Linked DNA regions of Neodiprion lecontei. The protein of the gene in region 1 interacts with the protein of each later gene in a pairwise test. Links are inferred from orthologs where the notes say so. Each region holds a gene or a part of one and is shown on either strand. Other genes may lie near its edges. The genes, in order: HMG box-containing protein 4; complement component 1 Q subcomponent-binding protein, mitochondrial.

Region 1 (16,927 bases):
GTGGATGCCTGCATGTTATTCATGTTGCGCCTCACATATTGTGCGATCTACTCGTAATAATTAAGTATAGTACTTTGCCAATCGAATAGCTTAGAGGTCTGTCCGTGAGTTTTTTTTTCAGAGCCGTGACGATTGCATTAAACTCTTCTAATTTCACACTTGACAATTTGGTGAGATTCAATTCATCACCGATAAAAATATAGAGTTAAAAAATTCAGTTTTACTATTTCTCCTCAATGAAATTTTTCCATGCAGACACGAGTTGGATAGCATGTAAAAATATCGCGTTATTTATGCGGAGAAATGATATTGCACATTAAACATGAGAAGTGGAATGAATTGATAAGAAACATAATACACACAATCTAGTATGGTTATTCGAATAACAAATTGTGGTAGAACACGTGAGGTCAGATAGGGGACACGAGAGTTGAGTTAATCGCATAAATGAATGTTCCATAGCTGATATAATCACTTTTTATAAAGAGCATACTTATCTTCGGTCAAGAGGTGAAACTGTGACTTGAGATGTGTACTCACGTACTTTTCCTATCAACATCTGACAATTTTCGTAATTGATTTTGTCGAATTTAATAACAACTTAGAACAGACTCAAATAATTTTATCATCTCGTCGGTGATGACTCGTATTTACACATATATTCATTCCGAATATCAAACCTAATTCTCTCACAATTTCTTTTGGCAATAATCACGAAGAAAGAAAAAAATTTTGATTACTTGAATACTTATTAATTCCGTATCCACGATCAAATTTTCCATTTCCAGATGAGTATGAATTAATTAAAAGAATTCGAGAGGTCTCGGAAAAGAATCAAGTTTGGCGTAGCTATATCGGTATGGGGTACCATAACTGTAGCGTCCCACATACAATATTGAGAAACATATTCGAGAATCCAGGATGGTAAGCAAACTTATCATTTAGTACATGGTTATTATTATGTGTCAGAGCACCAATTTCGGCAACAATTGTTTGTGTGTACTACAATCCATCAATAAACTATTAATAAGAATCTTAACTGAATAACGTTAAGAATCCTATCGAAGTTAACTAAAACGTATTCATATTTGACAATTACATTCCTAGGACGACACAGTATACGCCCTACCAACCAGAAATTTCTCAGGGGCGATTGGAGGGGCTTTTAAATTACCAAACTATGATTTGTGAGCTAACAGGGATGGAAGTAGCGAATGCTTCTCTTCTGGATGAGAGCACTGCTGCTGCGGAAGCGATGTCGCTTACTTACAGGCATACTAGAAGAAAGAAAATGTTTTTGTCTGATAAATTACATCCCCAAACGATAAATGTTGTTGTAACAAGAGCTACATCGCTGGGACTGACCATCGAAGTTGGAGATGTATTTAAAGTTGACTTGGCAAAAAAAGATATTGCTGGAATTCTTTTACAGTATCCAGATACAACAGGGCAGATTCGCGACTTCTCAAATGTTGTTGAACAGGCCCATGTTAATGGAGTAAGCGATATTTCTTGCATAGAACAATGTGGTTGATTGCCCAAATATGAAATACGTTTCAGATCTAAATTGTCCACAATTCATTTAGATATCGCTGTGTCGTTGCAATCCCTTATTAAAGTATCTTGAATTTTCTCTTTTACAGACCTTGGTGTGTGCAGCGAGCGATTTGCTTTCCTTAACATTGATCAGACCACCCAGCGACTTTTCAATTGACATATGCATTGGTACAAGTCAGAGATTTGGTGTCCCACTGGGATACGGGGGACCACATGCAGGGTTCTTTGCTTGTCGTCGAAGCCTAGTAAGGTTAATGCCAGGAAGGATGATCGGTGTAACAAGGGATGCCAATGGTGTTGACGCTTATCGTCTAGCACTTCAAACCAGAGAACAACACATCAGAAGAGACAAGGCTACAAGTAATATCTGCACTGCTCAAGCTCTACTCGCCAACATGTCCGCTATGTATGCAGTTTATCACGGACCATCAGGATTGAGAGATATAGCAACCAGAGTGCATAATCTAACTGCAGTTCTCGCTGGTGGATTAAAAGCGGGAAACAACAAAGTCCAAACCGAACACTTCTTTGACACAATCACTGTACTGCCTCGAGATGATCAAGGAACTGTAAGAAAAAGAGCAACAAAAGCTAAAGTTAATTTGAGGTAAGCAAGTGTAGTGTTATAGTAATCAAGACCACGTAGATGATGTATAATCTTATTTCCTACAACTATTGCGATTTTCAAGGTATAACGATGACGGGTCAATTGGAATAGCATTTGATGAAACGACTACACTGAAAGACGTTGATGATCTTCTCAAAATATTTGGCTCAAAGATGACGGCTAAAGAAGTTGTAGAAAGTGATTCGAAAGGAATTTACAGCATCATTGACTCCCCATTTATGCGTACAACACCTTACTTGGTGCACCCAGTTTTCAACACATATCATTCTGAAACTCGAATTGTACGGTACATGAAGTCTTTAGAAAATAAGGACGTTTCTCTCGTGCATAGTATGATTCCACTGGTAAGTGAAAGCTGGAGTGAAACATTGGTCAAAAACGCTATTTACGTTACAGCATGCTCATAAGTTTTCAATTTGAATTGCAGGGCTCTTGTACAATGAAATTGAACTCAACAACCGAAATGATGCCATCCAGTTTCAAAGGTTTCACTGATATACATCCTTTCGCACCAATCGAGCAGGCCGAAGGATATCAGCAACTCTTTACGGAACTTGAAAAGGATCTTTGTGCCATAACAGGCTATGATAGGATTAGTTTTCAACCAAACAGTGGTGCGCAAGGTGAATACGCAGGATTGAGAGCTATCCAGTGTTATCACGAATCGCGGGGTGATGCCCACAGGCAAGTTTGTCTGATACCAGTTTCTGCACACGGCACAAATCCAGCTTCAGCACAAATGGCAGGGATGCGTGTTGAGCCGATTCATGTGAGAAAAGATGGTTCTGTCGACATAGTTCATTTACAGGAAATGATAGATAAATACAAAGTGAATTTATCCTGTCTAATGATCACTTATCCATCCACCAATGGTGTCTTCGAAGAAACCATTGCCGATATTTGCGAAATGGTCCACAACGGTGGAGGGCAGGTATACCTTGATGGAGCTAACATGAATGCACAGGTTGGACTGTGCAGACCTGGTGATTACGGAAGCGACGTTTCACATTTAAATTTACACAAGACATTTTGCATTCCACACGGCGGTGGAGGACCTGGCGTAGGGCCAATTGGGGTGTAAGTAGTACAAGATGATTCTCAAAAATTGACTAAAATCAAACTGGGCATGATGAGGATTTTTTCATTTATAGCAAAAAACACCTCGCACCATTTCTACCTTCTCATCCCATTATCAACCCACTGGCTGATGACACGGATGGCGGTAAACAGAGTTTAGGAACAATTTCTGCGGCACCTTACGGCTCGTCCGCGATTTTACCAATTTCATGGGCCTACATAAAGATGATGGGACCGAAAGGCTTGCGGAAGGCAACTCAAGTAGCAATTCTTAATGCCAATTATATGAGCAAGAGATTAGAAGGTCATTACGTGACGTTGTACAAGGGGACCACTGGTCTCGTAGCACATGAGTTTATCATTGATGTGAGAGATTTCAAGAAAACAGCCAATGTCGAGGCTGTTGACATTGCTAAGAGACTCATGGATTATGGTTTTCACGCGCCAACAATGAGTTGGCCAGTCACTGGAACTTTGATGATAGAGCCAACCGAGTCAGAGGATAAACCAGAGCTTGATAGATTCTGCGAAGCTTTGATTAGTACGTTTTCGTTAATAAGTTACTATTGTTTACTGGCCTCTAAATAATTCTACATACTGTTCTTCATTTTTCAAATAATACTATCCCCTTACAGGCATCAGGAACGAAATTCGGGAAATAGAAAATGGTAAACTAGATTCCCAAATAAATCCTTTGAAAATGGCACCACATACCCAGGAGCATGTTGTTTGCTCAGAATGGAACAGGCCATATACGCGCGAACAAGCTGCCTTTCCCGCTGTAAGAAATTAATAGACTATTAGTATCTTCAACTTTTCTTTCTCAAACACTGGAAGAATTTCAGATCCTTACCTTCTCAATTAGTTATAAAAAAGTATAATTTTTCTGTGCACTTAATCGTTTTTAAAATAAATGTTTTATTGTTGCAGCCATTTGTGAAAACCGATACAAAGATCTGGCCGAGTGTTGGAAGAATTGATGACATATACGGCGATAAGAATCTGTTCTGTACATGTCCACAGATTCTGCCGAAATATTAGTTGCCCATAATTAGTGCTATTTATTTATGTGTAAATATTTAATGCAAGATTAGGATTTAAGATTGTACTAGACATATCATCTCGACTCATTAACTTCAGCATAGCATATATTTATTGTATGACGTCTCATAAGCACAAGTATCAAACAATTTAATTCGATAAAAGCTATATTTTTCATAATACAATGCTGTATTTTCACTTCTTTGCATTAGTGACACTATGCCTACAGACCGGGCATGATGTACGCAATATTGTCGAGCATTCGAGAAAGTGTTTGAGGTTTTGCACCATCTGTCTCTGGGACTTGTTGCGTAAGACAGATTAATGGACCAAGAGCACAGAGTAGTGAGTCTAACAGAACCGAAAGACTACCTGAAACCGCTATTTGGCCCTCGTGTTCTTTTAATCGTTCACCAATTATCGTCAGACTTTCACCAAGCAATTTCAAATGAGCAGCTACATCCACAGGCTGCATTCCTATCACTTTGTACATTCCTGTTCCAATGACTGGCTCATTTACTAGATCTTTACCACCACGATTAGATGGTGGTGAAACTGGAATATTTCCTACCACGGAAGGTACTCCAAGCTGTATTGTCTTTTTTGAAGGGGAAGGTTTTGTTTCTTTACCGTTTCCTGAAAATTGACCAAAAGTTAACTTAATATTGGCAAACCAGCTTCATAAAAATTGAGCTTTCAGATGATCCTCAACATGTCCTTTACCAATTTTGTTAATGAATTTCTTTTTCGATGAAGGTGGAGGCATTTTCCATACTGATTCATCTTTGACTGCGATTGCTGCGCTGGGCTTTGACGCTAGACGTTTCGCCCGTCTTCTCCAATTGTACTTTTCCAAGTTCGGCACAGTTGCCCATAATTCACCAAGACGCTTTGAAATAGTTGCAAAATCTGAAGCAATCAATAGATCTCTTTCAACATGTAACCGGAAAGTTGTTCATTTTCACGATACATAAGATCAATTAAATAATTGATATTGAAGATTGTCATATCATAAAAAAACAGTAATATTTATCAACGTTTGAAACCTTCTCAATGAAAAGAGACGTAAGGAACATCATACCAAATCTTTAAAAAATTATATCTTACTTCAGAGCATAACTAGCCACTATTTTTATCTACTAAATAGCGAGCATAGTATACGATTTTACTGCAGCGTATCAACATCAATATTCACTCACCCATTTCAGGATATTGCTTCATTAATTCGTGTCTTATCTCTTTTGCCCACAGCATATAGGCTGTGAAGCGTGTTTTCTGTAAGATGAAATTTTATTCATTTATCAATCCAAGAGCAAAGCAACATTCCAGATGGTTAATTTTAGGATGATTTGTCTCTCTTACGTTTGAAAAGTAGTCATGAATAATTGAAAAGTAAAAGATATTATAGTTTACTTACACCCTTATCCTTTCGTTGAGCCTTCATTCTGCCAATAATCTTACCATCCTTGATAATTAATTTCTTCTTGCACTTCTCAAGCATGTACAAACTATTTGCCTGTGAGGGAGCTTCCTGACCGGGTGGTTCAAGTCTCCTGAATCCGGTTTCTCTATCATCAATCAATAAGGGATCCACTTCATCATCACTACCAGATTCTAAGCTATATCTTTCCTCTTCGTTCATTGCCGTATCATCTTCAGAATAAGAGCCAGAGGAGTGTCCTTCATTTTCGGACAACGGCTCAGCCTTAACTCTGCCGATGTGGGATCCAGAGTTTTTGCGTTGCCGTTGAACAGGGGCGTCTCCATGCTGAGATGAATGACTTTGAGTAACTTGCTGACGATGCGCCTCATAACGCTCTAGCAAATGCTGTGCGTGTAACTGTTGGGCTTTTTGTCGTTTGTATTTATTGTCTGCTATGTCATCAGGAGACTCAAAGTCCATAAGTTTAGAGGACTTTTTACGCACGCGACCACTACGTGATATCCCTGTAACCTCTAAATCTGAAATGTAAAGCCAACTAGATCTTGCCAAAAGAGGATCAGGGATAAAAACACATCGCATTACATCTAACTACGCTTTTAAATCCAAATGAAAGACTTCAAAACTACCAAACTATTGAAAAGTAGGATTCACTACGCAAATTGGATTTACTGGTCAGAACTGATGAAGGGTCGGCCTATATATTGGGTGTAACTCAAATAAAGTATTACTTGCAGCAACTTTCTTGCCAAAGTTAATTACGATGTAAACTTACAGGGTTGTTGCAAAATTTTTTTTTCCAGATTCTCAAGCTTAACCAGTTTTCAGGAACAAAGAGATGATTTCTCTCAGATTGTTTCAAAGTATAGAAATTTACAGTTTCAATACGTCAAAATTATCACATTCCAACTTAAACAATTCTAAATTTCTTTTAGCAATAAGAAAATGCTTATCAAGTTAAGTGAGATATGAAATTATTTGGGAACCATTGAATGAACAAAGTCCAATAGCACCCTGTAATACTGTTTTAAATTTCAACTTTACACAATTTACTTTGTTATTCGCAATTATAATAATAATATTGATTTGCAGACAGCATTTTTTGAACACAATACAAATGTATTACTCCCTACGAACAGAAATCTAGTTCTCAGGTCCCTCTTTATTTCATAGGATGATTGACTCAAATTGAGTGGCTTGACTTTAGAATGGGATTAAATTTCAGGGTATTTAATAGAATTCTTTGGCTACATAGAAATTTTCACGTTTGCGACGACCCTGGTATTGGAAAAATTTTACGTGCGACTTATTGTGAAAAATTTGGTAACATAATATGCGAAAATTTGTTCTAAATATTAGTAAAGTTGAATTAAATAATTGAATGTTAATTTATCGATCCGTTCCAAACTGCGCTCAATTTACGCGCTGATGAATTAGTTCCAACGCCGACCGCGACAAATACACAAGCGCTAACTACGTGGCAAGAGAACGAGAAACTACATGATACGGAGAATAGGCTAAATCGCAAAAACGAACGTTACTACTAAATGAATAAAATCCATGCGCCAATGTCTACGTAAATTTTGACACAGTAGTGTTTAGGATGCAGCTAAGCTAACCAAATTGCTTATATACGCGTTTTGGACGTATCTCACCATCCGTTTTTTGATGACGTTTCGGGGACGCGAACGATTCCATTTCGTCGAGCTGGTCGAAATGTTTCTTACGCCGCTGTGCTTGGGGGTTCTCAAGTTTTGGTACTTGTTTTCGAATGTCCGCCTGCATGACGGGGTTGTTTAAATTAAAACAAGCTTCAAGTTTAGTTAAATGATCGTACTTCTTTTTCAGTGCTCGTAATTAAATTAGACCAATTTTACACACACACAATTACCCTGATCTTTTAAAAACAACTGCAGCGTTGCAACCGAAACTGTAGTGCGCATGATCCGTCCATCTAGGTTGAATTACTGTTTCGTGGCGACTCGATTTGCGCGCGAAACTGACATCATCAATGAGTTATTAATAATTGTAAATTACTTGAAAAAGAGCAGATGATTCAAACATTCAATATTTTCCATTTAATGCACTGAATATCGAGTTACATAATGTTTAGAAAAAATTAAAGGTTAGATTTACGGTAAATGAGAAAAAGGCAATTTCATAGCTGTACATACAAAATTCATTTTATTTATAAAAAACCATATGTCTGACTTGAAGTGCATCTAAAAGTCATCTTCCTGTTGCCACCCATCTTCCTCAGATAAAAACCGTCTTTTATGAGTAGTATTCATGTACGGTCGCAACGCCCACTCTGAATCAGCAGCAGCAGCATTGTCTAATGTGCCCAATTTGATTTCGTACAATTTAAGTTGAAACCTGGGACCGACTTCAGACATTTCAATATCCTTGCCATTTATTTTCTTGTAATTATGATGACGGAATGAAATATAGTCGTCGTGATTAGCAAAAGTGATTATCCTTTTGCTGTCCTCCTTAGGTACAGGAAACAAATGCTTTAATATGCTGACAGTCCTCTGTCCCAGTTTAGTTTTAAAGTTGTGAAATATTAAATGCGGATACTGTTCAGACATTGTTCCAATGTCTGGAATATCGTGACGCATGACGACGTCTGACATGGTGAAATAGGCTGTAGGTCCGTAGGGCAGATGGCAGATAACCAGGGTGTCTGGAATCCCTCTATGCTCGTGCACCATGATAAAATCGGTCACGTCATTGGCACGACAGGCGTGAATTAGCTGTTTCATTTCGTAATTACCGCGATTCATCCTTTGGGAGTTTGGAAATATGAGTCTGAGCTCTTTGACGAACATTTTCAGCCGCGAGCTGGGGTCTCGCGATGTCGTTATAACTATTTTCGGGTCCTCGACACCTGCCCATCGGTATTCGTCGTCCTCGTGCGTGCCGATTGCTCCTCCCATCTCCGTACTGATCGCTACGGCCATTTCGGGGCCTGCATCTTCCCACTCGATTTTTTTTTGCAAATGCAATGCATTCTTCCTTAGGTCGTGATGGATCGGAGTATTCTCTTCTAGGCTATGTTTTAACCTCTCTTTCTTGTCCTGGATCGTCTTCATTTTGTCCTGTACTGACTTTCGATAGAGGTATTCCCGCCTCAGTCGCGCTTGTCTTCTCAACATCTTCGATTTTTCGTTTTTATCAACCCTTTAGCACACAATAATGCGTTATTTATTTTTCACAATTTGCGAGGCTGCCGTCAAACAAGCATCAAATCCGATGCAACACACGTGTTTTGCTACTCGTATTCCATAGGTTGAGTAAAAAGTAGAGAACTTACGCTACAGCTAGATATGAATAGCTAGACATCGGGCAATTCTCGAAGTTTTTAAATTCGTCTCAAATTCGGTTGAAGCGTGAAATCAATAATCGACGTGCTATAATTATGAACGCATCTTGTAAAAAACGAACAAGGCTATGCAGTCTACCGTACAAATAATGATATTTTCCACGCGTGTTGGAGTACGTTAATTATTTATTTCACGTTTAAATCAAATTTGACTCAGAGTTTCAGCCCTTTTTAAAGTTTTGACTCACGGCCACCAGCAGAGCGTTGCGGACACCTAAGACAACGAATTTGATGAAAATTTCGGACAATGTGCGTTACTACATCGCCCGTGAGCACAGGCGTGGATGACAGTAGATGATAGATGCAGTTTTATAGTGGTTCGTACAATCAATTTTGATAGATCATGGAAGAAGCACCGTATAAATTAAGTTCCGTGTTAGTTGGTCACAGTTCTGATGTGCGAGCTGTAGCGGCATTTAAGGATGGAAGTCTGGTGTCAGTCTCGCGCGATAAAACCGCTCGCCTTTGGAGGCCGAATGAGTATGTCGAAGCTCTAACCTATATTCCTTTGAATGTCCCACAACGAATTATTATTGTCCCTGTGATCGAGGCAACGTGTAAATGAGGGATTTTCTTTTCATTGTCAAGCTCCCCGTTTGGTTGTTCCATAGTTGACTAGCGAACGGAAATTCGCTTCGTTGCTCAGGTTTTCATGATGCTTGACCCTCCGCAATAATTAACTTTCAGATTAAATGCCGGATACACGGAATCCGCAGTGCTAAAGGGTCACAGCAACTTTGTGAGTTCAGTATGCGTAATAAACCCCTCTGAACAATTCCCGGATGGCTTTGTAATTACTGGGAGCAACGACAACAATATCTGCATTTACCTGCCTGGGGAAGAGAATCCGCTGCACACTATAAAGGCGCACCAAAACACTGTGTGCAATTTGAGTGCAGGTAAGGAGGAGGGAACATTCCTATCCAGTTCGTGGGATCTTACAGCAAAATTATGGCATATCAACAAGCTGGATTCACCACAACTGACTCTGACCAGTCACACGGCAGCTGTCTGGTGTGTGGCAGATTTGGCCAATGGCGTCATAGTCTCAGGATCGGCTGACAAGCTGGTTATAGCCTGGCGGAGAAATGGCACCATACTCCACAAGTTCTCAGGACACACAGATTGCGTTCGTGGAATATGCGTGATCAAGGACGAAGAGTTTTTGAGCTGTGCCAATGACGCAACCATTCGACATTGGAGTGTATCCCTAGGGACTTGCCTCGGCACTTACTGTGGGCACACGAACTACGTGTATGGAATAGCATCGACGTTTCTGCTGGGCGGTTCACATGTTGTTACTTCCGGAGAAGATAGGACTGTTAGGATTTGGCACAACGCTGAAATCCAACAGACTTTAACACTCCCTGCGCAGTCCATATGGTCAGTTGACATTTTGCCAAATGGAGACATTGTCACTGGATCTTCCGATGGATTAGTTAGAATTTTCTCTGCTAAACCTGAACGTTATGCCGATGCTGCAACTTTGCAACAGTACGACGAGGCCATCGCTAATACCCAGCTTAATGCTGAGCAGGAGTTGGGTGGCATCAAGATTAGTGAGTAGGTATTCTTCCCTGTTTCTTGTCAAATTTTTCTTTCATCTTTGAATATTACTTCTGGAAGGAAAGGGTGTACGTTTAATCCTACGCATCATTGACTTGTTCTAAAATGACATAATTTTAGAATGATTGTGCGAAATTTTTAACATCTTATGTATTTTGATCAAAAACATTAACAATGATGATTCCTGGTGACCCACAGTCTGCCAGATGCCAAAGCTCTACATCAACCTGGACAAAGAGATGGTCAGACAAAAATGATAAGAGATGGAAATACCGTCAAGGCTTACAGCTGGTCGCAATCAAGCAAACAGTGGCAACATGTGGGAGATGTGATGGGTGCCTCTGGTGGTAGTCCAGCCACATCTGGTAAACAATTGTATAATGGTATGGAGTACGACTACGTTTTCTCAGTCGACATTCAAGACGGTGTTCCACCTCTAAAGTTGCCTTACAATAATGGCGATGATCCTTGGTGTGCGGCCCAAAAGTTTATCCATGATAATAACCTTAGTCAACTATTTCTTGAACAGGCAAGATATCAATTTTATCAAACAAAATGTCTTATGCACATGGCTTACGAAGACCCTTCAATGACATTTTCCTGTTTGCAGGTGGCAAACTTCATTGTAAATAATTCTCAGTCTGCCCCAGTTCTGAACGCCGAACCCCAGTTCGCTGATCCTTTTACAGGAGGAAATAGGTACATACCAGGATCTGGAATTCCTGGAAGAACATTACCAAATAATGTGCCAACACCGTCGGCTAGCTCTTCCAGTAGTTCTGTGTCGCAGACATATATACCGCATACTACCTATTTGAAATTGGAGCAAGCCAATGTTCCAGCTATCACTGGTGATGAATGATTGCATATTTTTTGCACATAAAATACCAGTAATTTTGTTACTACTAAAAATATACAACAAATAATTTGTTAAAATTTCCAGAAAAATTACTAGAGTTCAACAAAAAGATTGACAATGGCATTCACACAGTTTCGGAGGAATGCTTAGACCCATTTGTAAAACGATTGTGCAGTCAAAACGGAGACGAGGTTGGAGCTGATCCAATTGAAATGTTGAAAATATTTTTGAATTGGCCAAATAACTTGGTGTTCCCAGCACTAGACCTTGCAAGGCTGGCTGTACTTCGACCAGATGTTAACTCGCAGCTATGCAATGACGGATTATTGGCGGTGCTGAGGCGGCACATCAAAACTGATGCACTTCCAGCTAATCAAATGCTAGCTTTTCGAGTACTAGCTAATATGTTCTGCCATAGTAAGGGTGAAGCATTGGGTCTACATTATAAAGACGAGTTACTCAAGACGATACTCGACCTTTCGTCTCTTGGAAGTAAACATAACCAGGTATAACCGGTACTTCAACATTTATTCTGACATGCGGGACGGTTTGATCAGCGCCAACGTTCTTAGAGCTTCTATCCGTACATGTTTTCAATCCTACAATTAATCAATTTACAACTGTTGTTTCAGATTGCGATAGCGAGTTACCTGCTTAATCTAATAGTGGCATTGAATAAACTTGACGATACACCTGGCAGAACAAGAGTACTTAATGTGATGTTTGCCGTTTTGCCGCTCTTGACTGAGCCCGAAGCAATATTCAGAGGGCTCGTTGGGTTGGGTACAATTTTGGCAGCAACACCAGACCCCGAGGATCGTGATAAATTAATTACAGCTGTGCGACAGTGCGAAAGTGCACTGGCTGTTATCAAGACAATGTCCGAATGTTCGACCAATAGCCCTGCACAAAATAAACTTTCTAATTGTTCCAAGCAAATTATTGATCTAATTATGTAAAGAATTCTTACTGTCAAACTTTCGTATTTTTAATACTGAAGGAGAAAATATTCATTCGGCAATTCGAATTTCTCAAAATAATTAAACTCACGATTTCTTCGTAATTGGTTATGAGAGACCTAGTTACTCGAATAGTCTACATAAAATTTTTAGGCAACAAATTCATATCTTCTCGAAATGATTTGGCTCCAATTCGTGGAATTGGGACGGTTTCTTGTTCACGCGAGACCTGCATCAATTATGTAATGTTCATTTATGATAATATTTTTGCATTATTTACTGAATTGCTGTGTGAATATTGATTGATTACATCCATTACATGTACAGTGTGTAGTAGAGTGTGCTACGTGTTACCCATTAAAATTAGCATCATTTGGAATAAAAGCAGTGTTCAAATTTATCGAGAGCACTTTTAAATGAAAGAGGCGAAAAATTATTTAATGATTGTCCCACAACTCTAGCATTGCTGGAGAAAATCTTACGTCTGCGTGTGCTACCAAATTTGACAATAATTGCGACCTTTGATACAAGAATTTTTCTAGTTTTTTTTTTTTTTCTTTTCTCCTAAGCAACCCACAGGGAGTAGTTTTTAATTTATCAGTGAACTTTACTACCCATGTAATGTCTTGAATTCAATGCAGATCACGTTTTTTTTTTTTAGTATTTGATTCAACATTGTCAGCATTGTAAGCTTCTATGATTTTTCTATTTAATTCGAATAAAATGCCGAATAGTTTAACGGGGAAATTTGGAGTGACAGAGAAATTGATGACATGTAATAGTGACAGTGATAAAACAAAAGTCGCACATGAGGTAAGATAACTTGTATATCTAAATAAAAATGAGCTCAAATATGTACAACGACGAATATAAAATAATAATTTATGTAATATACATATTTGATTTAATTCTTCGGACGTTCAATCCATTAAACATACAACAGACAACGGTGTAGTAGTAGAATATTGTTATTATAGTAACGTCAAATATATATTTCCTTAACAGATAAACGATCGGTCTTGAGTGATCAAGAGCCGGTTCATCTTAACTTTGTAATTAGTTGCATGAAAAATAACATTCACTGTATATATTCATATTAATTTCAATTATGTTCGATGAAAAATACATACTATATATTGAGATAGTTTGTTTCAGCCATGTAGATTTAGGCTCGCGACGGGAATGTGAATGTGTTGGCTTTTTTCTTTGTTTTTTTTTTTTTTTTGGTTTTTTTTAAAAAAATAATTTTTTAATATATTCTTGAGATCTGTAGGACGATATTGCAGAAAAGTGATGTTGCTGCTCTGAAGTTCGAACAATCAATCAAAAATGTGCAGATGATTCAGACTGCGATATTCATTATTCATTCATTTGCTTAATTAATTAATTAATTAGTTATTTACTTTCTTTCACTAGTATATTATCATTATCCCAAGTACATTGGGCCACCGAATGCATATTTCAACAACCAGAAAAAGCAGTTTTTAACGCAGCCGTTACAACTTTTTAACAACATGCGTACTGATCTGACTATTCGATTTATCTTTTTTTTTATTTTCATCTAACACTAGCAAACCACTAGAGCAGTTTGAACCAATTTTCTGTTTCATGCATATCACCGTACACGTAATGTAAAATTGAGACAAATTATGCACGAAAAGGGGTAGGGAATGCTCTCCAAAAAAGAATACCGAATAAAGATTTTACCCGAGGATTTCTTTACTCGTTCAATGTATCATCATAAAGTAACCGAGGCTTCGCGAAGTTTACAAGTCACGTATTGCGGAAGAACAGAAAAGAAATATCAAATTTAAATTTCAAATTTCAACCCAAACGGCGTTCCGGAATAAAGGTATTTTTTTCCTTCTGGTTTTTATCGGATAAATGAAAAAAATTTAAAACGAAGCGTATCAAAGTATCTTCAACTGTTAAAGACCCTTTCAAACTTCTCGGATAAAATATTCTTTGAATAAATAATAAAACTATCCTCGTTCTTTTTTCCGTATACCCGTAGCAATTACGTGGCCGCGTTGGGCTGAGCTGGGCAGAATGAATAGCTGGGAGGGACCTAGAATTTGTATTGGGTCCCCCCAGCCCCGTCTCATTCTGCCGGCGTACTAGCCGCCCATCTATCAAACTCAATACCTGAATCAGGACTAAGACCTAGATCGATAGGACTTAAAAAGCTAGGTACGGGACAATTGCAAGGACCTCCAGGTCGGCAGGCGCCGATGCACCTTCTGTCGTTGCCTTTACTTCTATCCCCCCGATTCCTGAGCTCTATTTCAAAGCTGTGCAACTGTTCCATGAAGTGAAAATTCGGAGCTACGTTTGACTTCCGGCTTCGTACTAAATTAAAAGCGTCATTCAGGCTAAGGCTGCACTTGTGCATAAGGTAGGCAACCGTTATTGTTACGGAACGTGATACTCCGGCTAAACAGTGGACCAGTACACCTTTATCCGAACTTCTTGCTTCCTCTGGAAAGAAACGGAAAAAAATCAGAAATCATTATCACGAGAGTTATCGAGGCTTATAAACGAGGTGGCAACGTAAAGCGTTCGTAAAGCAAACTTGTGACCAATATTTCGTCGATTACACATTATAATTGTATTCGACAGGAAGTTATGAAATGTTTGTAATATCGACGCGTTTTAATGAAGCATATTAATTAGTTGCGGGAATTTCTCCAGGAAACTGTTTGAAGGATTTTGCGGCTGCCTGCGGAGCACGTATTTCATTACGCAACGCGAATTTCGTACTGTAAACAATGAAAATATTTAGAATAGAATTTGAATACTTCATAAAAATACAACGGGGCTCTCATTCTCAAACGGTGCTGTAGCATAACCGGATATCCGTTGTTTAATTGTCTAGAGTAAGTTCGCCCGCCACGTGGGAAAGTTTCTATTTATAAGAATCCCAATTTAACCACCGCGACTTTCTTAAACAGGAAATCCTGTTTAAGAAATGCTTAAATCTTAGAAATTGAGCTGAAAATTAAAACCCGTATACCGCGGCCAACGGAAAACGTACGTAAACCCGCAAATATTATTATTTAATAATAATAATATTTGCGGGTTTACGTACGTTTTCCGTTTGCAACAATTTTGGCATTGTTTGTGAGCGACTTTAGTAATTTGATCTCTTCAAAAAATACACAGTACATCCAATTAAACACACTGGTAAACAAATTGGAGTCAGTTCTGTCTTTTTTACCGTTATGCAACTTTTTTAGACAGCCCATAATTTTCAAATACGAAATAGAAAACACGTTTATAAATATCCAATGATCGAAGTAAAAATGATTTACCGATGAACTGAATTGCCTGAGGAAAAAAGCTGGCCAAGTTTTGACTCCAGTGATCGCTGATAGGTATCTGCATGTATTTGATAGAGCCAGCATCTTCAAACACATTTGGTAAATCAGGTGTAACGTTCAGGATATATTGTATCCTGTGGCGAGCTAGGGCATCTCTGTCTTCGCTGTTGGCTGCATTTCCTAAATATAAGTGCGGTAGTATTTCCACTGGAAAGTCTTTGTCTTCCTCTGGCCCTACATAGAGAATAAAACACTTTGTAAGTTTGCAATCTTGTGTGTTCAACTTGATACTTATTAATTATACACATGATAAGACACTTCATAAAACAACTTCTCAAGAGTAAGCTCAACAGATCTCCTCAACCTGTCAAGTACTGCGATATCTACTAAACAATCAACAAATAAATATGAAGATAGTTACACATCGTGGTATCGACCTGTTTAGAGTGAGTTTATAATCAAAGAAACTGCTGGTCTGAAATATATCTGATTTCAGAGTTCAAATTATTCTTATTATTCAGAGTTTTATTTCTACCAGGAATTTAATACTTAGCTGGAATAATAACTGTAACACGAATAGATATCAACCAAAGTTTAAGAGGCACACTGATTCTTTCGAGTGCTCGTATTAATAATCTAAAATAACGCTTGGTAAAATTTAATATGTTTAATACTTGGAAATAAAATTTGTTAGGGTGGGATTTTATTTTGTATGCTCACCGACAGAGTCACAGGTACTGTCGCTATCAGAATCGGAATAGGCTCTCGTTGTGGGTGGGGTTGAAATGCGAAGGGATCTAAGGCCCATAAGTTCTCCCTCGTTTGGATCTTGCCCAGTTAGTCCTTCGGCATTTGCCTGACCCCCTTCGCACCATTCAGGGTATCTGTCTCTGAACGCTCCGAAACCACCTGGAATAAATAACAAAAAGAATGGTATAAAAAGTTGCCAAATTCAACAAAACGAAAGAGTAATTAAAACTGGTAAATTGAGAGGAATCTTTATGTTTTTCAACAGATCCTCCTTCGCATTCTGGATAGTATTCATCCAGCATTGATGCGGTTGTTAATAAAATTACAAAAGATCTAATGAGTCA
Region 2 (15,811 bases), on another chromosome or scaffold:
CTTCAGTTTTTGTCGGGAAATAAGGAGCCGCTGCACGCAAAATTTGAAAATTGTCTTACCTTATTTACGCGAAGCTGTATCCAAAGATCGGCGAACCTCGGCTGGAATTCGGTAAAAATGTTGATTCCGGACGATAAATACGTCCGAGGCGTGCGCTGCACTCATGAAATGCAAATAAATTAATCTACCGAAGTGTTTTTCGCCGCCGACACTCCTCGACCTCGTGCATAAACGGTGTGTAACATTTCTTCCCTTATACATACCCCGCGCCTTTCGGATTTAACCGCCGAGCACGAATTTATTGGCACTCAGCGCTGGCGCCATCTGTTAACGAATCGTCGTACCAACTTCGATGCCGGGAGGCTAGGGCAGATTTGAATCCGAATCACTTGACTTGTCGGAACGTCGCTTATTCGCTAATTTACCGCCTCTGTTTATTTTAATATTTTCATTGTGCAAAGAAAATAAACGTCAAACTACCGATCGCATACCTCTATTTTGTTTTTACAAACTCTTCCACCCAACGATAATTACTATTATTATTATCATCCTCATCTTTTTAAGCATTAAATTGTCAACAATTTCTTACAATATAATGAAAGCGGTACAGCCGTACAAAATGTATAATTCGTTGTGAAAGCAGCCCACGAATATATTATTTACACGATACTACATGAGCCTGGGAGTGTCTGTTCACCATTTGGGTATAATAAGCTAGTTTTCATCGCAGTCAGTCGATATCGTCAGGAGTTTTTAACAAACTGACGGGAGACCGTCGGCAATTTATGACCAGTCGTAGGGTCAGATTGCCATCGACTCGGGAGGTCTTTGCGAGGGATTGTGGTACAGCCCAGCCATCGCTTCCTGAAGCGCTCTCAAACACGCAATGTTCGACTTAAAGCCTCCGGCTTTTTCGGCCGGCTTCTCGCTTCTGACGTGCGCGATATATCCGCCAGATTCCATTTCCTGCCAGCCAGGAGGATGCGGACCTTCGACTTCCTGCTCGATACGCTTGTAGCAGTAGGTAGGACCTTCCTCGACTTTCGGTACAGGCATGAATGTCTGCTGACCCTGTCTGCCGAATTTTATTCCGGTACTGAATTGGGTTACTTTTGCGACTGGCACGACCTTAGCTTCCTCTCTGGTCGCCTGGATCGTAGACGCGAACGTCTCGACAATGTTCGCGGCGTCCGCTTCTGAGAACATTAGCTCGTCGATGAGAGCCTCTTTCTCACGTATTTTTTTCTTCTTCATTTCAACCTCCTGCTTTATCAACTCCAATTTCCGCTCCTCCTCCTGCTGCTTTTCCAGCTCTAACAATTCCTCAAGCTCGTATTCCTCCCTGCCCAGCTTGGACTTGCTTTTCAAAATTTGTTCCTTGTTCGCCTTCTTGTACTGCTCTATCCTCTTGTTCGTCTCTATTACGTCGATATTGTTGGCCAGGTTGTATATTATCGTTTCAATTTCCTCGAGGTAATCGTTGTACTCTCGCAGCGTTGTAAAGTCCTCCTCTTTTTTGTTGAAGTCGCGGAGTATTCTCTTGCGGATGTCTACCTCTTTTTCTACCATCGAGTCCTCGAACAATTGGATCCTGAAATTTGTTCTTCGCAACGGTATTTGACATTCGGGACAAGCGCCAGAGCCTACAAGAGAAAATAATAACAACATGTATTTGAATGTTTGTAAATAAGCGTTAGAATGGAAAACGATGTAATGGAACTGTGAGCATCGATAATTACCCTTCAAAAACAAGAGATCGACGCAACTTTCGCATAACGCGTGTCCACACACGTTTACCATCAACTTCAACGACGGATTTCTGTACTTGGTCGTTTTACAACGGGGACAAATTTGGTCGTCCATTGTGACAAGTGATTATTGTTCAACCAGCAAGGAATAAATGAGGGTAAGCATAAACAACAACGTGAACTTAACCCCAGCAGCTATTTTTATTAACCGCACATTTCATAAGATAAGATTATATTTTATGTCAGACTTTATTTTTCCTGAAAACTTCTCCCTGTATGCAAATATAATGACTCGTTGAGGAACGGTATTATTACGTAGGTAGATATAAGTACATTATTTGTCAACAATACTCCAAAGCGCCCAAAAGCGCCGGATCTTTTGACGCAAAACCAAAAACCGGAAAACGCACGCGACGTGCAAAGAGAAGCCTTTGCGTTTTTTGTGCAGACACAATTTCGTGGCGCCATCTGACACGAAATTGGTTTTTGAAACTAATCGGAAACATTCGGAAGCATTCGGAAACATGAAAAACACGAGCCGGGCTCTCGAAAGTCGAGGCACCCGAAAATTTCGACCCTACAATCAGCACAATCTGGCACAATCACTCCGAACGTGATAAGTCGAGCACGCAGAATCGATGGGCTGAATTCTTGAATATATTTTAACGCACGCTACAGACGCGACTAACTCAGTTGCTTCATTCGCTCCTCGTGAAAATCTCTGTCCGTTCAGCTTGTCTTCGACGTTTGACAGTTCAGATTCTACGATCAAAACCACGGTGCTTTTTATGTATTTACGACACATCGTACGAGCGTTTTTAATTCAATCAGAGAGTACATAAAATTGTTCCAGGAGACAATCTAGCTCCGTATTAACAATTAACGCAGGTAAGTCTTTGCGCCGTATTGATAAAAAAATATGCCTACGTGCAATCATTCGGCTGTTCGCAAAGAAAAGTGAACAACGTAACCTCAAATTCAGGCCCTTCAACGTTATATGAAAGAACACTGTTGTCTCAGTTGTTACAATTATCATGATGTAAAATATTTAAGGTTAAATTCTGTCTCGAAAACTTTAACCTTAAAATTTTTCAATATGTTGATTCTCGTCAGTCATTTTAAGACATAAAGACGCTGTTTTCGTTTTGTTTGCGGCACTTGTCAATAAATTAAATCTGTCAAGTTTTCGAGTATATGAATATTACCATCTATATTCAATTAGTGGCTTGCATTTGGCATAACCTAACGCTAAATTTGTTGTAGCCAAATATCGAATATCTATCAAGGATAGCCTTTGACTTACATTGTAAAAAACGTAATTTCACTCTAAAGGATTCGATTCAATACTCTATCAGCAAATGCAAAATGCAAGCCAAAGGCTTTGGAAGTACCGTGTTGGAGTCGGTTGGGTCTGCTTTCAGAAATAGTCCGAGTAGCACAGATCTCCTCATGAACAGTATTGGCGAGACGTGCAATGAGTTCAAGAAGCAATACGACTCGTGTTTCCATTTCTGGTTCGCTGAGAAATTCCTGAAAGGGGAAACAAACGACTCCATGTGTGCTCCTTTGTTCAAAGTCTACCAGCAGTGCGTAAAGGTAATTTTATTACTATTTAGTTATTATTATTTCAAAATAGGTTTTTGTCACCGTGACCAGACTGAGCCGAACGTCAGCATGGAAGCATGCAGTGAATTAAAACAGAAATACGACGCTTGTTTCAATTATTGGTTCTCTGAAAAATTTCTCAAGGGCGATAGAAACGACTCGATGTGCTCTAGCTTGCTCAAAGTCTATAAAGAGTGCGTGGCGGTGAGTTGGACGCAAAGAAACGAAAACTTGAAATCTCTTCGATAAACTATGTCAACCTCAAGATTAATCAATCCTCAGTTTCAAATTCAGCTCTGTACTTTTTTCTCGCAACCAATGATTTTCCATCTTTCAAATTTCAGAAAGCTATGAAGGATCAGCACATAGAGATTAAAGATGTGGAAGCTAACTACCTAGGTACAGATCAGGAGAAAACAGCCCCGCCTCGCAGCTGACAATTAGTCGATAGACCGTGGATGCCAATATCGTCTTGGATGTCAGCTATGCTTTGCTCGCCGTGCATGCCGCTGGCACAAGTTACGATCCCATCGGTACCTCATAAAGTTACCAACAGTGAGGCGGCGGTACAGAAGCATGCATCGCCGGATCCTTAATTCAGTAGAATAAAAGCTATTAACAAAGATTGAAGTAATTTATATGAATTTACTTTCAGGTAAAATTGTTTTATATCTCTAGGTATGAATGATTTCATTATGCAATATGTTTATAAGGCTAAAGCTAGCAGCCGGAATTAGGAGCCAAATTTTCTAATGTTCGTTCGGATAAGGTAGTGAAATACGAAGATCTAAATTTATTTAAATACCTCGAACTCCCGACACTTTAATAGAATTATGTTGATAAAACTGAACGATATTTCTCTATTTCTAAAAAGTTAAACACGTTTGGCTGCTAGCTTCGGCTTCATATATGTTCAACAATAGCTACTTATTTTAAACTCTTTGTGTGGCGGTAAAGGTAGTAAGCTTAAACCTCGATTATTAATGCCTGAAAAGATTATTCTTAATTATTGTCACCACTCAGCAATTTTAAAGAGACATTCGATGCTTCTTATTGATTACACTCAGGTTTATCAATTGAATATTTCCAAGGCATTCTGCTTTAGGAATGCCAAATGTAAAAAAACGTTTCAAAGCTTCTACTCGAGACTAGCTTAAATGTATAACAATTGGCTCGTAGCACAATGATTTCAACTTTCTTACAGAGCCAATAGTTTAGCAAATTGAATTCCATATTTCCTTATCAAGTATCAAGAATGTGTGTATACATATGTGTAATATAAATGTATAGAAAACTATCAAACACGTGTTCAATGTCATATAAATTATTCATTTTTTTATTTTAATTCCTTATTTTCCATGCGTATTTTGTATTCAGAGATGAGAGGAAAGTTATGGGAAACACAATTGGCGTATGTAAGAAGAGTTTATTTACGAGACCTAAGACTATACAGTACAGTTCTTCTGATTAATGGTAAACATGTCGGACATTCGACAGACATTCAAATAACGGAATTATTTTCCAGATGTGAATTTTGAGAGACCTTCGAGTAAACTGATGTATGCCGTATGTTCATAGGTCGTACTCAGCTCGATCAGTTTCTCAGCAAATTCGTTTGACACTCCTTTCTCCTCAAGATAGTTCATCAGTAAATCATAAAGATACTGTCGAATGAAATGATTATTTTCATTACAATGTCGTTGCAAGGGAAAAAATTTTTTTTCAGTATTATGCCATATCTGTTATTATATACTTACGCCATCAATAACATCACCAGCGACAGCATAAATTTTGTCATTGTGTTCTCCTTCGTACAATGTTATTTCGTCTATGCCAAAGATATCGTCTGCACAGGACACAAGTCAAAATTCTTTCATGTAGTGAACTTACTACTCTGTTTAATTTTCATTTTTCTATTTACGTAAGTTGCAATGTTGCACTTTTATAAGGGTTTGTCGATCCACCGTGACTGAGATAATTTCGTTGTTTATGATATTACCCAATGCCAACGGTAGCACTTTACTTTTCCAAAGGTAAATTATCAAAAAGACAAAAAGTTTGTCAATTTGTACTCAACGCTTTGGATACCATTCACGTCCGATCAACCACAATTTTAAAACAGAATGCAGCGTAAATTTAGTCAAATTGAAAATAAAGAAAAAAATGTAACTTCAATATTTCGTAATGGCGAGATTTTTTTAAAATTTAATTTGGTCCATGGGAGGGAAAAAAAAACTTACTGTAGCCATCATCGGCACCAGAAGCTTGCGGTTCATTATTGAATGAACATGTGAACCCTAGAGTTTGATTTCCTCTTTCAATATCAACTTCGAAGCTTGGCTTGCTTTTCATTTCTCCAAATTCAGCCTTGTCTTCTGGGGTGTCAATGTCGGGTTCAGAATCAGAATCGACAGTATGATTGACATTGAAATTTATCGTTATGCTAAAAAATTACGAATTCAGTCAAGTTTTTGTCACAAAATTGTAATAACTATAGCAAGAAGATCGCTAAACAATTTTTGGCTTACGTTTCATCTCCATGTTTTTTGGTGAGCGTAACCTCCGCTCCATCTAACGATATCTTAAAGCCGTCTAACTCTGTGGGAATGGTCTTCATTTTTTGTGCCTTCTTTTCCGCAACAATTTCTTCAGCTAAAAAGAGTCCCAATTCTTTCTCCGCTATAGCATCAACCATGTAAATGACAAAAAATTGCAATTGAATAAATAGAGAGAAAATTATCACTAAAAAAAAAAACCAAATAATAGTAATAATAATAATAATAGTAAATTATATTTCGGGCGGAGAAGTTACGAGGTGACATTGAAAAATGACCCTAACCTTTGGTGTGTGCCTTTCGGGAGCAGCCGCAGCTGCAAAAATCGCTGGGATTTTGAATTTTGTAACTCGTTAGTGGTGCAAGTTCGTTTTGCCGGCTGCACATGTTCCACATCGTTCTTGCGAAATCCCTTCGTGCCGTGCCGCCGACAACAACGGTAGATTGTGTTAATCCCTTGAGAGTTGAGGCCCTCAGAGCGGTTCTGACTAATCCGTTCATCTTTCTGTCTTCTGGCTTATACCGCCGTTGATAATTGTTGTAATTAATTTACACTGTTTTCTAAAATTCGGCTGATGCACGACTTGGCACGGCTCGCGATCAAGCTACTCCTTGCGCGGAAAAGGTTGCGTCAAGGCTACGTTCACTCTTGTATTCTCGTCTTCCTCTACCATACTTGCCTCTACCCTGTTCGCCGACCGGATGTTCACTAAGGTGAGCTCAAAACCACAAACTAGTCAGGTATACTTAGACGCGGATATGGGGTGAAAATTATTATCGTATAATGTGACTTTCAGTGGACTTTCCACGCCGAAGTGCAGGCATTTTTCTCGACGGTTGATGCGTGTAACCTTAGTGACCGGAAGTCGACTCAGTGTTACAAAGAGTTTAGTAAACGCAGCCGCCATTTTGTAGCGGCGCTACTGATTTCGAGTATTCGAGTAATTTCGTCTTCGTTCGGCATGTCGGCTTGTAAACGTAGGAGATACGTTTCGCAAAGATACGTATAGACGGACGAAAATCAGGTGCCAAATAACACCAGTTGATTAATTGGAAGAGCAAATTGGGCGCGATGTTGCTGAACAACTAGCGATACCCTATTTGCAACAGAAACCAAGGTAAATACAACACTCACGACATTCTCGTGATCAAAATGGCTGACGATTTTTGTCCTCACCGCATTCTCGCCAATGAAAATCAACGGTCGGCGTCGATTTTGACTGATCACTAAGCGGAAATTTTTGCTTATATAACCTCAAAAATATCATAATTATTTCACTAATCGAATAAAAGTAATAAAAGCTTTTAAGATCCCAATTTGACAATGGAAGTCAACCATAACCAAAGGATGTGTATTTACAGGCCTCAACGCCGCATTTTTATTACTCAATAACTCTGTAAATGATTGACAGATTACGTGACATTTTCTTGCCACATTGTATTTCCGTATTGATTTACTTTCACGTATTTAATTCGGATTGTATGATATCTAGGTCAATTGGCACGATTTCTTATATGCTCATTTACGTCTAGTTATACTACTTTTTCAACTCATAATTTCTATAATAATTAGCTGATTGATCAAAGATTTAAAAAATTTCTTTTCAGCTAAATAAGTCAGCGTCAAAATGTCTATACCGCCTTACTTGCTGGGCCCAAACCCATGGGCCACCATGATGGCCCAGCAGCAGGCTCACGCTCAGCTTGCAGCTGCGCAAGCTCACGCGCAAGCAGCGGCTCATGCTCAGGCAGCCCATCATGCTCACATGCAAGCAATGGCTGGGCCGCCGCTACCGCAGCTGCCTAAGCAGCCCGAAGTTATTTCCGAAGATAAATTGCAGGAAAAAGGTAAGAATGGATTATTATTGTTAATGTTGGAAAGACAGAAAAGGTCCTCTACGCATGTGTATTATTTTCTAGTGATTGAAGAAAACATCTAAAAAATTGATATATTTCCAAATAACATTCATTGATGAAAACTGTTCACATATGATTAGATAACTTGATTTCGTTATCCCACTTTCTGCAAATTTTAGCTCAAAAGTGGCAGCAATTACAGTCCAAACGTTTTGCGGAAAAACGTAAATTTGGGTTCGTCGATGCTCAGAAGGAGGATATGCCGCCTGAGCACATAAGGAAGATTATTAGAGATCATGGAGATATGAGCAGCCGAAAATACAGACATGACAAACGTGTTTATTTGGGGTAATTATCGTGTATCAGTGTTCAATGAAGCTCTATTTTTTGTTTGTAATTTTGTCTTCACCTTTTGTTATACGGTCATTATATTAATTACAGTGCTCTGAAATACATGCCTCATGCTGTGATGAAATTGTTGGAAAACATGCCAATGCCATGGGAACAAATTCGGGACGTCAAAGTGCTGTATCATATCACCGGAGCCATCACATTTGTCAATGAAATTCCATGGGTCATTGAACCAGTCTATATCGCTCAGTGGGGGTGAGTTTTTAAAGAATTTCCAGCTCTTTGTTAAGAGAGAAAAAAAGGTCAAATAATTACTTCGGCCCAATGTTTGATCGTGATTAAAATCTAGTGAATTTAATTTTAAGAACAATGTGGATCATGATGAGGCGTGAGAAACGAGACAGAAGACATTTCAAAAGAATGAGATTTCCTCCGTTCGATGACGAAGAACCGCCTCTAGATTATGCAGACAATGTGTTGGATGTCGAGCCTTTGGAAGCCATACAAATCGAGCTTGACTCGGAGGAAGACGAATCGGTTGCTACATGGTTTTACGAGCACAAACCTTTGGTTGGGACGAAGTAAGTAAATGCTTGATTATGATGCTGAGCTCAGCTGAAATTTTTCTTGAAAGTGAACTGAATTATTTCATTAGCAATATCAGGACCTTTCGCAGCTTTGGCGTCAATATATGACCTGCTGCCCAACTCCTGACAATATACGTCATTTATACACCAATTTCATGATGAATCGCGTAGGGGTCCTGAAATCAGTCATTCATGTGGTCTGACGGTTGCAGCGTTGTTGTTTGCTTGTCTGAGATAAAACAAATGCAACGTTGTGATTGGATCAAACGCTAATCTGAAATAGACTTACGTATATACTCAAAATTTAGCAGCCTGAAGAAACATGACCAAAATTATTTCATGCAACGAAATTTTTCTAATAATTTCCAGGCATGTTAATGGATCAACTTATCGTAAGTGGAACTTGTCCCTTCCACAAATGGCAACATTATATCGGTTGGCCAATCAGCTGCTGACTGATTTGGTTGATCAAAATTTCTTCTACCTCTTTGATCCAAAGTCGTTCTTTACTGCAAAAGCTTTGAACATGGCCATTCCTGGCGGTCCTAAGTTTGAGCCCCTTGTGAAGGATTCAAATGCTGCTGATGAGGATTGGAACGAGTTCAACGACATAAATAAAATAATCATCCGACAACCAATTCGTACGGAATATCGTATCGCTTTTCCTTATCTGTACAACAACATGCCACACTTCGTTCATCTTTCGTGGTAGGTAGTTTTACTTGCAGATTATTTTTTAAATTTCTGAAGATTCTGTTATTATATTGATATCCACACCAGTTTTAAGACAATATTAAAATTATATGTGGTCTTACTAGCCGTGTGGTAAAATATTTAGTGATCGTTATTCGTCACCCTCGTAGAGGAGAGAGGGCGACTGCTGAAATCACAGACAAATTTTTAACTTTAACAGTACTATCCTTGTATTTGTTTAATTACATCCTGGTCGCAGGTACCACGCTCCTAACGTTGTCTACATCAAGACCGAGGATCCAGATTTACCTGCCTTTTATTTTGACCCATTGATCAACCCGATTTCACACCGAAATTCATTGAAGGTACATCCATTGCACTTTAATAAATGCTGTGTAGAGATTATCATATTTGATTTCGAGCTGTTCCACGTCGACATCCCTGTTCAATGAGTTGTTCAACTAAAATAGCTCGTAGATGAAGGGTCATTTTTGCCCTGCGTTAGCGCAGCATGACTAACGGAGTTTCCAAAATGACGACACTGTATTTTATTCATCGAGTTTCATTCAAAATCTCCACAATTCGCAATTTAATTTTAGAAAATCCTCTCTTTCCGTAGACAATGGAGCCTCTTCTTGAAGAAGATGAAGATTTTGTACTGCCTGAAGAGGTTCAGCCATTTTTGCAGGAGACTCCGCTTTATACAGACAACACGGCTAATGGAATTGCTTTGCTTTGGGCACCACGTCCGTTTAACACGCGATCTGGCAGAACTAGACGAGCGATTGATATTCCCCTGGTAAAATCTTGGTACCGCGAACATTGTCCACCAGGACAGCCAGTCAAAGTTCGTGTCAGCTACCAGAAATTGCTAAAGTACTTTGTCCTGAATGCATTGAAACACAGGCCTCCAAAGCCACAGAAAAAACGATACCTCTTCAGGTCTTTCAAATCGACCAAGTTCTTCCAGACTACAACTATCGACTGGGTAGAAGCTGGTCTTCAAGTATGCAGGCAGGGATACAATATGTTGAACTTGCTCATTCACAGAAAGAATTTGAACTATCTTCATCTTGATTATAACTTTAACTTGAAACCGGTCAAGACTTTGACCACCAAAGAGAGAAAGAAGTCGCGTTTTGGAAATGGTGAGTGGTAAAAATGTCAAAGATCATAAGTTTGGACTGTAATGTGCTAGTCGTAATGCTTGTTTTTACTTTCAGCATTCCATCTGTGTCGTGAAATCCTCCGACTGACCAAACTGATTATCGATTCTCACGTTCAGTACCGTTTGAACAACGTTGATGCCTTTCAACTCGCTGACGGGCTTCAATACATCTTTGCTCATGTCGGACAACTTACTGGCATGTATCGCTACAAGTACAAACTGATGAGGCAGATTAGAATGTGCAAAGACTTGAAGCACCTTATCTATTACAGATTTAACACTGTGAGTATTTTTTTGCTTTTTTTTTTCACGTACCGTTTCCCTATTCTTGAATTTATTCACTCTGTAAAGCTCGTGTTTTACAAAAAAATCTTTTTTTCGTGTGCTGATGATAGGGTCCAGTAGGCAAAGGTCCCGGATGTGGATTCTGGGCACCTGGATGGAGAGTGTGGCTATTCTTCATGCGTGGTATCACACCGCTGCTTGAACGCTGGCTTGGTAATCTTTTGTCTAGGCAATTCGAGGGACGGCATTCCAAAGGGGTTGCAAAGACTGTGACCAAACAGCGAGTCGAGTCGCACTTCGATCTCGAATTGCGAGCCTCTGTGATGCACGACATCGTTGACATGATGCCTGAAGGTATTAAACAGAACAAAGCCAGAACAATTCTTCAACATCTTAGCGAGGCTTGGAGATGCTGGAAAGCTAACATTCCATGGAAGGTTTGTGACTTGATTCCGTTTCATCTCTTGATTCGTTTTTTTCATCACTCTTCAGTGACAATTTGTTTTTTGTATAGGTTCCAGGGCTGCCTATTCCGATCGAAAATATGATTCTTCGATACGTGAAGATGAAGGCTGACTGGTGGACTAACACCGCACATTACAATCGCGAACGTATTAGGCGAGGTGCTACAGTCGATAAGACAGTCTGTAAAAAGAACTTGGGACGTCTGACAAGACTCTACTTGAAGGCAGAGCAGGAGAGGCAACACAATTACTTGAAAGTGAGTGTTAAAAGGTTGATTCTTCGATTAAATACCTGACGCACGAAGTAATGCTAATTTTCTGCGGTCGAATTAATTTTAGGATGGACCGTACATCTCTCCAGAAGAAGCTGTTGCCATTTATACAACGACAGTTCACTGGCTTGAGTCTCGTCGATTTGCGCCAATACCATTCCCACCATTGTCTTACAAACACGACACGAAACTTTTGATTCTTGCTTTGGAAAGATTGAAGGAAGCCTACAGCGTCAAGTCAAGGTTAAATCAGAGCCAGCGAGAGGAACTCGGATTGATTGAACAAGCCTACGACAATCCTCATGAGGCGTTGTCAAGGATTAAACGTCATCTATTGACGCAGAGGGCGTTCAAAGAGGTAAGCATCGTAAAACTTTTATTGTGTGTTTTTGTTTTTGCTAATGTACAAAACCATTACTCTGTTCTGGTCTGAATATTCATGATGACAGATTTGTGTAGGGGTCTGAAATCAGCCATTTGTGAGGCTGACTTCTGGTTCAGTGAGCAGATGTTTGTCTGAGATGAACATCTGGCCTGTTTTAGTTGGAAAAATAGCACAACCTGAATTGTTTGATATGGAAAATAACTTTTTCTCCCCAAAAATGTCCTCTCTCTCAACTTCGCGATCTATTTCTAGGTCGGAATCGAGTTTATGGATCTCTACAGTCACCTGATTCCCGTCTATGACGTTGAGCCGTTGGAAAAAATCACGGATGCGTACCTGGATCAGTATCTCTGGTACGAGGCGGACAAACGCAGACTTTTCCCACCCTGGGTAAAGCCATCTGATACAGAACCGCCTCCACTTTTGGTGTACAAGTGGTGTCAGGGTATAAACAACTTGCAGGATGTGTGGGATGTTAGTGAAGGCGAGTGCAACGTCCTGCTTGAGTCGAAGTTTGAGAAATTGTACGAAAAAATTGATTTAACATTGCTGAACAGACTCCTCAGGCTCATCGTTGATCACAATATCGCTGATTACATGACAGCAAAGAACAACGTTGTCATAAATTACAAGGTAATTGTTATTTCCATATTCTTTACATTATGAAATTTCGAGGATGTAGAAATTGCTAAATAATTCAATTATCTGTCAGCCTTCTACTAGTGCCTCGTAAAGTAACGATCACTTTTGCCCTGTACTGGTTTCTCATACCTGATACAGTTTCCAAGATGATGACAAGTTGAATCGATTTCAGGACTGTCGTATTTTCTTCAGGATTTTACGATTGACAAAGTTTTTTACCTTATTTCCAGGACATGAATCACACGAACAGTTACGGTATTATAAGAGGTCTGCAATTCGCTTCGTTCATAGCACAATACTATGGCTTGGTATTGGACTTACTCGTGCTCGGTTTGCAAAGAGCAAGCGAAATGGCTGGGCCACCGCAAATGCCCAACGATTTTCTGACTTTCCAAGATGTAGCTTCTGAAACGGCTCATCCAATTCGTTTATTCTGCAGATACGTGGATAGAATCCACTTGTTTCTCAGGTAAAATTGTGATCCAGTTTTTTAGTGAAGGTAATATAAAGTTTCTTGCGGAAATTTCATTAAGTATATTTACAGGTTCACAGCAGAAGAAGCCAGAGATCTGATACAACGGTACTTGACCGAACATCCAGATCCGAACAACGAAAATATCGTAGGTTACAACAATAAGAAGTGCTGGCCTAGAGATGCGAGAATGCGATTGATGAAACACGACGTAAACCTGTGAGTGTTTGGCCGTTTTATACATTAATTTCTAATTTTTTCACGCAAACGATTAATTATCTACTGTTGAAGTTCTTTTTTCTTTAATTCGCAGCGGTCGAGCCGTATTCTGGGACATAAAGAACAGATTGCCTCGGTCGACGACCACCATTCAGTGGGAGAATAGTTTTGTGAGTGTCTACAGTAAAGACAATCCCAATTTGTTATTCAACATGAGTGGTTTCGAGTGTCGCATATTACCAAAATGCAGAACGACGCATGAAGAATTCACGCACAGAGACGGAGTTTGGAATCTGCAGAATGAAATCACTAAGGAAAGGACGGCACAGTGTTTCCTCAGAGTTGACGACGAAAGTCTTCAGAGATTCCACAACAGAGTCAGACAGATCCTCATGGCGTCTGGGTCGACTACTTTCACCAAAATCGTAAACAAATGGAACACTGCGCTCATCGGTCTCATGACTTACTTCCGCGAAGCTGTTGTCAATACTCAAGAACTTCTGGATCTACTTGTCAAGTGTGAGAACAAAATTCAAACCAGAATCAAGATCGGTTTGAACTCTAAAATGCCTTCGAGATTTCCACCTGTCGTTTTCTATACTCCCAAAGAACTTGGAGGACTCGGTATGCTGTCTATGGGACACGTTCTCATTCCACAGGTAATTCGCACATATTTCAATAATGTATCAGTCAGGTGTGCGTCGTTTCAAATCTTTCATTCTTTTCATTGATAATTTCAGTCTGATCTGAGATGGTCAAAGCAAACTGACGTTGGAATTACTCATTTCCGATCCGGAATGAGCCACGACGAGGATCAGTTGATTCCCAACTTGTACAGATACATTCAGCCATGGGAATCAGAGTTCATTGATTCTCAACGAGTCTGGGCCGAGTACGCGTTGAAGCGTCAAGAGGCGAATGCGCAAAATCGTCGTCTCACTCTGGAAGATCTTGAAGACAGTTGGGACCGTGGTATACCAAGGATAAACACACTCTTCCAAAAGGATAGGCACACTCTTGCCTATGACAAAGGATGGAGAATCCGAACAGAATTCAAACAGTACCAGGTCATTACATTGTTTCAAACTTTCCTGAAACCCAAATTAAATTAGCCCAAGTAATTTGTCGTATCTTTTATTTGGTAACTCGTGTTACAGGTACTCAAACAAAATCCGTTCTGGTGGACCCATCAACGTCACGACGGTAAATTGTGGAACTTGAACAACTACCGAACTGATATGATCCAAGCGCTTGGAGGAGTCGAAGGTATCCTTGAGCATACTCTGTTCAAAGGAACGTATTTCCCTACCTGGGAAGGTCTGTTTTGGTCAGTATTTTGCCATTGTTTAATAGTGTTGGCAATAAAATCTAAACGATTGACATTTTTATAGCATTTCTTTTATTTTCGTAATGTAGGGAGAAGGCATCAGGATTTGAAGAGTCGATGAAGTACAAAAAATTGACAAACGCACAGAGATCTGGTTTAAATCAAATTCCGAACCGTCGTTTTACTTTGTGGTGGTCGCCGACCATCAACAGAGCCAACGTTTACGTTGGATTCCAGGTGCGTCCAAAACTAACTCCATAATTTTCAGCCACCAGATGAGCAGGGATATAACATTCCTTTTATTCGCCATAGGTGCAACTGGATCTGACTGGAATTTTCATGCACGGAAAAATTCCCACGCTAAAAATATCCCTGATTCAAATCTTCCGTGCCCATTTGTGGCAAAAGGTTCACGAATCTATCGTCATGGATCTGTGTCAAGTGTTTGATCAAGAATTAGATGCTCTCGAGATTGAAACTGTACAAAAGGAAACTATCCACCCGAGAAAGTCTTACAAGATGAACTCGTCTTGCGCCGATATCTTGCTCTTCTCTGCGTACAAGTGGAATGTGTCCAGACCATCTTTGCTAGCAGATTCAAAGTGAGTCATCGCTACTTTTAACAATCTTCACTCGGACTGCAATTCAATTAATATAAGTAGTCCATTGATTTAACTTACATGACGTAATCAGCAACTGTGTTGTCGCATTTTAGAGACATGATGGACAATACCACAACCCAAAAATATTGGATTGATGTCCAATTGAGGTGGGGTGACTACGATTCTCATGACATTGAACGATACGCAAGGGCGAAGTTTTTGGACTATACAACAGACAACATGTCGATTTATCCTTCTCCAACAGGGCTGCTTATCGCCATTGATTTGGCTTACAACCTGCACAGGTAATTTGTAAAAGACGGTACATCATTTGTTTTGCAAAATTACCAAGGCTAATTTTATCATTCATCAAACAGCGCATATGGTAACTGGTTCCCGGGCTGTAAGCCTCTTATCCAGCAAGCGATGGCAAAGATAATGAAAGCCAACCCTGCGCTTTATGTACTAAGAGAGCGCATCAGGAAGGCTCTTCAACTCTACTCTTCAGAACCAACAGAGCCTTACCTATCGTCACAGAATTACGGAGAGCTGTTCTCAAATCAGATTATTTGGTAGGTG

What was found.
Region 2: the proteins of HMG box-containing protein 4 (region 1) and complement component 1 Q subcomponent-binding protein, mitochondrial interact in a two-hybrid assay, tested with the Drosophila melanogaster proteins (2 studies listed by BioGRID). The link is inferred for Neodiprion lecontei from reciprocal best matches to the Drosophila melanogaster genes CG4617 and P32.

Annotation. Positions count from the first base shown.
Region 1 is NC_060263.1:38,124,723-38,141,649, reverse strand, and holds HMG box-containing protein 4, read right to left. Parts: upstream 7,667-16,927; 5' UTR 7,530-7,666; coding exon 7,400-7,529; intron 7,268-7,399; exon of another isoform or gene 6,520-7,267; intron 6,266-6,519; coding exon 5,721-6,265; intron 5,579-5,720; coding exon 5,503-5,578; intron 5,213-5,502; coding exon 5,027-5,212; intron 4,940-5,026; coding exon 4,527-4,939; 3' UTR 4,393-4,526; downstream 1-4,392. Other genes in the region: glycine dehydrogenase (decarboxylating), mitochondrial, read left to right, coding at 789-924, 1,108-1,498, 1,644-2,164, 2,247-2,529, 2,613-3,262, 3,337-3,803, 3,898-4,043, 4,193-4,303; U3 small nucleolar ribonucleoprotein protein IMP4, read right to left, coding at 7,967-8,902; phospholipase A-2-activating protein, read left to right, coding at 9,473-9,609, 9,817-10,692, 10,894-11,224, 11,306-11,546, 11,639-12,060, 12,187-12,513; dual specificity protein phosphatase Mpk3, read right to left, coding at 14,615-14,991, 15,825-16,067, 16,554-16,742.
Region 2 is NC_060264.1:1,825,829-1,841,639, reverse strand, and holds complement component 1 Q subcomponent-binding protein, mitochondrial, read right to left. Parts: upstream 6,609-15,811; 5' UTR 6,410-6,608; coding exon 6,193-6,409; intron 6,033-6,192; coding exon 5,882-6,032; intron 5,797-5,881; coding exon 5,594-5,796; intron 5,200-5,593; coding exon 5,111-5,199; intron 5,018-5,110; coding exon 4,868-5,017; 3' UTR 4,760-4,867; downstream 1-4,759. Other genes in the region: CDK-activating kinase assembly factor MAT1, read right to left, coding at 802-1,643, 1,740-1,863; TP53-regulated inhibitor of apoptosis 1-like, read left to right, coding at 3,114-3,344, 3,698-3,790; pre-mRNA-processing-splicing factor 8, read left to right, coding at 7,537-7,756, 7,945-8,113, 8,207-8,371, 8,482-8,697, 9,073-9,411, 9,656-9,761, 10,016-10,544, 10,620-10,846 and 13 more.